Macaca mulatta: one gene and its partner. The main gene of each other region encodes a partner of the protein of the gene in region 2 in a complex. Links are inferred from orthologs where the notes say so. Each region holds a gene or a part of one and is shown on either strand. Other genes may lie near its edges.

Region 1 (3,650 bases), on a different chromosome or scaffold from region 2:
TCTCAGCATCTAGTAAGGACCAGGCAAAGTAATATATAAGAAATGCTCAGCAGTGACTGTAGCTAATTAACAACCATTCTTAGTTAACGCACTGTACAAAAACAGGCAGTAGGTTGGATTTGGCTCATGGGCTGCAGTTTGCTAACTTCTGCTGTAGGAAAAGATTAAGGGTCACTGTCACTGACCCAGAGTTTGACCTTAAACAATTCTTTTAAACCTTTCAGTCTTATCTTACATGGATAGCAAAGGAAGACAAGGTAAATGTATAATAATATTATCTAATATTGTTGCTTACTCTGTGCCACACAGTGTGCTCAAGAAATGTTTGTTGAATGAGTGAGTCTTTAACACCTTTTCTTTTTTTTTTTTTTTTGAGATGGAGTCTCCCTTTGTCACCCAGGCTGGAGTGCAGTGGCACAATCTCAGCAACCTCCGCTTCCGGGGTTCGAGTGATTCTTGTGCCTCAACCTCCCGAGTAACTGGAACTACAGGCGTGTGCCTGTATTTTTAGTAGAGATAACGGTTTTTCCATGTTGGCCAGGCTGGTCTTAAACTCCTGACCTCAGGTGATCCACCCATCTTGGCCTCCTGAAGTGCTGAAGTGCCGAAGTGCCCAGTCAGTGTTTAACACCTCAAACTGAATTTCCTGTGTTACAGATAGTGGGCATTATGTGAGACATCGAAAGTGATATACACAAAAAGAAACATGTGATTACAGGCCCTTAATCCTCATTGTAATCGGGGAGATAAAGTGTGTACTGTGGCCGGGCACAGTGGCTCACACCTGTAATCCCAGCACTTTGGGAGGCTGAGGTAGGTGGATCATGAGGTCAGGAGATCGAGACCATCTTGGCTAACACAGTGAAACCCCGTCTCTACTGAGAATACAAAAAAAAATTAGCCAGGCGTGGTGGCATGTGCCTGTAGTCCCAGCTACTCAGGAAGCTGAGGCAGGAGAATTGCTTGAACCTGGGAGGTGGAGATTGCAGTGAGCTGAGATCGTACCACTGCACTCCAGCCTGGGCGACAGAGCGAGACTCCATCTCAGAAAAAAAGGTGTGTACTGTACATTTAACCCAGAAAGATCAATGGCAGAGTGAGGTGGGGTATAAGAGCCACCGGAAAGTAGTGACAGTGAATGTGAAACCCCTGGGGACTGAAGTTGTTGCATTTGTCTCTTTGTACCAGGAGGAGCCATTGGATGAAAGCTCAGTGAAGAAAATGATCCTCACATTTGAAAAGAGATCATATAAAAACCAAGAATTGCGGATTAAGTTTCCAGACAATCCAGAGAAGTAAGGTTCTGTTCTACTGACACCCTGTCTCCTCTGTGGCGTTTCGTTGGCTACTTTTGTTTTGGGTTTGGTTTGTTTTGGCTTTTGTGATTGGGGCCAGGAATCCCAGGATGACCTCCATGTTTGGGAATTCACTAGAAGGACTCCTAGGACTCAAAGTCAGTGATACTCAGGGCTGTGGTTTATTACACAGGGCACACAACGGGATCAGCAAGGGAGAAACACAACATCAGGTGGCGTCTGGAGAAATTCAGATCCAGGCTTCCTATGTTTTTTCCTTCCCAGTGGGGGGGATCATACAGACATGCTTCTTTCTTCAGCAGTGAAATGCAAACATGTGTGCAGTGATACAGATTGAGACTCTGAGTTCAGGGTTTTTATGGAGGACTGCTCATGTAGGCATTCTCTGCCAGTAATAACTAACACAATTGTAGGCTCCTGGAAGGAAAGCAGCTGTTCAGTGCCCTGGGCTGACAAAGCAGCAACCTTATCACTTAGGGAACATTTCAAAAGCCAAGTTCCTGGCTGCCAGCCTAGGGCCAGCCTTGTAAGCCAGCCCTTTTCAAGATCAGCCCTGCTATGTTAACTCTCCTGCATTATTCTTTTCAATGCCCAAAGAAGACGGATCGTGCCTGCCATTAGTGATAGCTTTACTGTGGAGATCATGTCAAAGACTCTGAAGTTAGACAAATATTGGTGTGATACACACATGCCTTTGAATAAGTCACTTCCCCTTTCTTAGCCTTGGGTGTCTCATCTGTATAAGGAAATAATGCCTTCCTCACAGAGTTGTATGAAGATTAAAGGAGAATAATGGTAAGTGTTTAGCTTAGTACCTGGCACATAGTAGGTGCCCATGAGATGACAGTTAACGTGAGTTTTACTGCACTAGCACCTTGGTGCACTGTGAAGTGCTAATATGAGGAATCTGGCATCTTTCAGTCTGTCTTGAATCCTAACCAAGGGGACTTTCACATTTATACAGTTTTAATGTTCTAAACCTCTCTTTCTCTCCCTATCTTTGTCCCTCCCAGGACATACAATTTTAATGAATCTTAATATGCCCAAGGCCCCCAGGCAATTAACAGTTGAGTAGTAAAGTCTTTGCACTCAAGTTTATAGGTTACTAGGGAGACTGACTATAAAGGCAAGGTAGAAGGAAACAGACACTTGAAAAGAGATATGAGCAGAGTTCTGTGGGTGCTTAGAAGAAGAAACAGTATATACCAAGTTGGGAGCTATTGAGGGCGTCACAGAAAAGATAGTAGTTGAGTTGAGCCTTGAAGATTCATTTTTATTAGGCAGAAAAGAACACAGAAAGGCATGCCAGGCAATATGAGGAGCATGAACAAAGGCCCAGAGGTGTCAGAGGGCACAGAGTCTTCACGGCAACCTAGTGAGGCCAGCGTGGTCAACTGTGTTGTCCCTATGCTGTGAATGAGAAGGCAGGGTGGGGAGAATGTGGTTACTGGGCCTAGGGCCACAGCCCTCTTTGATAGTAGGAATAGCTATTAATAGAGCAGGGCCCAGCTTACCCAGCACCAGAGTCCTTTCAGGTTTTGTACTGATCTCCACCATACAGGAGCACTGTGTGTGTGTGTGTGTGTTTGTGTGTGTGTGTGTAATTACACGAGTAATGCATGAATAGATTGTCATTCTGAAAATACCAGTGGTACATGAGTAGAGTGAAAAATGAAAGTTCTCCTTCACTACTCTGATCTCTTTCTATTCCTCTGCCTAGAGGAACCTTGTGAACAGTTAATTATGCGAATGTATTTGTTTCTACTCAAATCACACCGTACATATTCTGCACCTTGATCTTTTGGGTCATATAACAGATCTGTCCATGGTAGTACAGGCATGTCTACCTTGTGTTTTTTTTTAACTGGTGCATAGTATTACATGGTTTGGAAATACCATGACTTATTTAGTTATTTTCTATTGATGGACATTTTATTATTTTAAATATTGACTTTTATGAAGAATGCTATAGTGTACCTACTTGTATATGTGTCTTTGTGTGCATATGTTTCCGTAGGATAGATACGTAAATTTGGAATTCCCGGATTGAAGGGTATGTACATTTTAATGATGGCTACTGCTAATTTTCTCACTCTATTTTTAAATTCTCCTCCAGCAGCAGCATCTCTTTTCTTGTGTTCTTGCCCACAATGCATGTGATCAGTCTTTAACATCTTTGCCATTTGTTTTGTTGTTATTTCTGTACTCAGTGGTTCCTGCATTATACTCTGTTCCTTTTAGGAGATGGACTGTGTCTCGTTTGTCTCTAGTGCCTTCCACAGTACTTGCCTTGCTGTAGGTGCTCAATAAGCATAAGAGAGCTTATGTAGTGCC
Region 2 (3,720 bases):
GAGCCCAGTATACATTACCAACTATTACTAAGAAAGGATGCCAAGTGTGGTGGCTCACACCTGTAATCCCAGTACTTTGGGAGGCCGAGGCAGGTGAATCACTTGAGGTCAGGAGTTCGAGATCAGCCTGGCCACAATGGTGAAACCCTGTCTGTACTAAAAATACAAAAATTAGCTGGGCATGGTAGTGCATGCCTGTAATCCCAGTCACTTGGGAGGCTGGGGGAGGAGAATCGCTTGAACCCAGGAGGCAGAGGTTGCAGTGAGCCAAGGAGTTGCATGCACTCCAGCCTAGGTGACAGAGCAAGACTCTGTCTCAAAAAAAGAAAGGATTAAATAATCAGTAAACTAATTACAGGAGAATCATTTGAACCCAGGAGTTTGCTAATTAAATAATCAGTAAACTAATTACAAAGGTATTTGAGAGAAGGAAAAAAACTGGCAAAAGTATTATAAGAAGTCTGTGATTGAATGCAGTTATTTGAAAACGTCAGAAATCAGTCCAAGAAGCATTACTGTACTTAATTCTCTCTCTCTTTTTTTTTTTAATGAGATGGAGTCTCGCTCTGTCGCCCAGGCTGGAGTGCAGTGGCGCCATCTTGGCTCACTGCAAGCTCCGCCTCCCGGGTTCAGGCCATTCTTCTGCCTCAGCCTCCTGAGTAGCTGGGACTACAGGCACCCGCCACCATGCCCAGTTAATTTTTTGTATTTTTAGTAGAGGATGGTCTCGATTTCCTGACCTCGTGATCCACTCGCCTCAGCCTCCCAAGGTGCTGGGATTACAGGTGTGAGCCACTGTACTTAGTTCTTAACGTGGTTAACATCTACACCTAGGTAACAATATTTGGAAAAAGCATAGGAAAACACGTTCATAGAAACATATGTCTTCTACTTAAAACTTAGCCAAGGCAGGGCGTGGTGGTTCACCCCGTATCCCAACACTTTGGGAGGATGAGGTGGGCGGATCACTTGAGGCCAGGAGTTCAAGACCAGCCTGGCCAACGTGGTGACACCCCATCTCTACTGAAAATACAAAAATTAGCCAGGCATGGTGGCTGGCACCTGTAATCCTAGCTGCTCGCGAGGCTGAGGCAGGAGAATCACTTGAGCTCGGAAGGTGGAGGTTGCAGTGAGCAGAAATGGCACCACTGCACTCCAGGCTGGGTGACAGAGTAAGACTCCGTCTCAAACAAAAACAACAAACTTAACTATTTTTTCATGTTACTTTAATGTAAATAATATCTTTTTTTTTTTTTTTCCCTCTGAGACAGGATCTCAGTCTGTCGCCAGGCTGGAGCGCAATGGTATTATCATGGCTCACTGTAGCAGCCTTGAACTTCCAGGCTCAAGTGATCCTTCCACCTCAGCCTCCTGAGTGGCTTGGACTACAGGTGCATGCCATCATGCTTGGCTAATTTTTTAGTTTTTCTTTTGTAGAGAAAGGGTCTCACTATGTTGCACAGGCTGGTCTCAAGTGATCCTCACACCTCAGCCTCCTAAAGTGCTGGGATTACAGGTGTGAGCCACCACACCCAGCTAAGTACTGCCTTTTAATAATACAATCCTTTCATAAATAAACGATTAGGTATAATGGGAAAAAAACCTCCAAGCTGTACATATTGAAATACTTGAATCCAATAATTTAGAAATAACTTACATTTCACTTAGCTAATTAGACCCTAACTAGAATCTTGGGTGTACTTCAAGGTTATACATTTAAAATAGTATCATACTCACTGTGTGCAGTAGAACAGCATCTGACTCCCTAGGCAAGCATGGGCACTCCTTTCTCTAATTCTCTTGTCCTTATATATACCTCCACTACAGGTCCTTTACATATTATTACACATTTATACATACTATTGTAAACTTTCTGTTTTATATATCTAGCTCCTCATTGTATTGTATTTTTCTGTATTCAGAAACCCTATCTTTTTTTGGAGACGATGCTTGTCTTAAATAAAGAAAAGAAAAATTAAAATACAGCAAAATACATATTTTTTTAAAACCCAGATATTTTTATCTCTATGATTTCAGAATCTAGAATGGCACCTAGCACTTGGAAAGTATTCGTATCAGGGAAAGTTCTTGCCTACATTAATCAGAACTGTGTTAATAAAAACATCGGACAGATTATAGAAAAAAGGAGAAGGCTGAGAAAAGAGTAGTATACACTTGGATATGGTTTGTCCCTTCAGTCATACCACAAACGTTTGGTAAATAACTAGACTTTAATACGCCACTCTCCAGTGGTTCTAAAGAGCTTAGGTAATTAGGCTTATACATACTAAAAAATTCTAGATCACCTGCTGTAGAGTGACTCTTGGCAGGAGAGGGTCCCTTTGAGAATTTACGCATGGATCCTATCTCAAAGAATTGTGGCCACAAATTTTTGCATTAAGTGAGTCGTGGAGTCCCAGAAAGTCTTCCTATGGATCTTAGAATAAGAACCTCGGAGAAGACTTATCTATCTAGCTGTTTTCAACAGACTGGTACCTATGCAGGCAATGGTTAAAACTGGAATTTAAAAATCACTTTTACGTAGCTGAAGCTCTCAATCCAAAATAAAGGTTCACAGGAATCCTCGTTCATACCCGGGCTCAAGACATACTTACTTCAAAGGCAGAATAATCCGGGGCTGTTAGGTAGCTCAGGTAGTTCTTAGTAGGTCGGTATCTGCGAGTTTCCTCCTCCACCAGCGCTGCAGCCTTAGAAAGAGAATTGGGGCCAGGGTAGAAGCGGCAAATTGTAACATGTTTCTTTCGGTACCGAGCCAGCGAACAGTGAGTCAGCTACAAAGACACCCCGCACTCACCGCTTCCCGCACACCAGGGGCTTCATAACCTTGATCAAAATACGGCAGCGCATCCACCACAACCTCTCCGGCCACCAAACCCGTGCCCGCCATTCTGAGGACCTCAGGTTTGCCTGCGTTTTCTGCGTCTGCGTAAACTGAGTTCTATTTAGATACGCCGGCGCCTGACACTGATGTAATCACGTTCCCGGCATATTGACGTTCGCGCATGCTCAGTTGCTAATTTTGAAGGCGGGTCCGCCCGGTATCTAGAAATTGCCGGGCTGCTTTGTTTTGGGCGGACGTGACGTCAGTCTTGGCTTCATTGCGTCAGCGGAAGGCCTCAATTTCCTGTCTTCTGCTTACTGTATTTTTTTTGCCAGCGAATGGTGGCGATTTGAAGTTAGGGCTTTTCGTTTCCTCCAAAACATTGATATCTGGAACGGGAGCCCCTTAACACTTTCGGAGGGAACTGGCTGCAGGATTTGACGGGGAGAGATAACTGATTTCCCACCTCTGCTTACTGCCACCGTCTCCCCTTAATCTTCTCTTCCTCTGTGCCGGACTTCTTTCTTTTTATTATGGACACACGCTCTTGTTCTGCTGCCCAGGTTGGAGTGCAGTGGCGCGATCATAGTTCACTGCAGCCTCAACCCCCCCAGGCCCAAGCGATCCTTCCACCTCAGCCTCCTGAGCCGCTGGGCCTAGAGGTGCACACCACCACGCCTGGCTAATTTTTAATTTTTTTTTTTTTTTTTTCGAGACGGAGTCTCACTCTGTCGCCCAGGCTGGAGTGCAGTGGCGCGATCTCGGCTCACTGCAAGCTCCGCCTCCTGCGTTCACGCCATTCTCCTGCCTCAGCCTCCTAGTAGCTGGGACTACAAGGCGTCCGCCTCCATGCCCGGCTAATTTTTTGTATTTTTTGT

What was found. The genes of interacting proteins can lie anywhere in the genome.
Region 1: BCAS2 (region 2) and CTNNBL1 share a complex: the UniProt entries of both Homo sapiens proteins name them as parts of the PRP19-CDC5L splicing complex. The link is inferred for Macaca mulatta from reciprocal best matches to the Homo sapiens genes BCAS2 and CTNNBL1.

The regions. Positions count from the first base shown.
Region 1 is NC_133415.1:90,599,278-90,602,927, forward strand, and holds part of CTNNBL1 (beta-catenin-like protein 1), read left to right. Parts: intron 1-1,188; coding exon 1,189-1,295; intron 1,296-3,650. UniProt on the Homo sapiens protein: Component of the PRP19-CDC5L complex that forms an integral part of the spliceosome and is required for activating pre-mRNA splicing.
Region 2 is NC_133406.1:125,671,742-125,675,461, reverse strand, and holds the start of BCAS2 (pre-mRNA-splicing factor SPF27), read right to left. Parts: upstream 2,933-3,720; 5' UTR 2,909-2,932; coding exon 2,816-2,908; intron 2,709-2,815; coding exon 2,616-2,708; intron 1-2,615. UniProt on the Homo sapiens protein: Required for pre-mRNA splicing as component of the activated spliceosome. Component of the PRP19-CDC5L complex that forms an integral part of the spliceosome and is required for activating pre-mRNA splicing.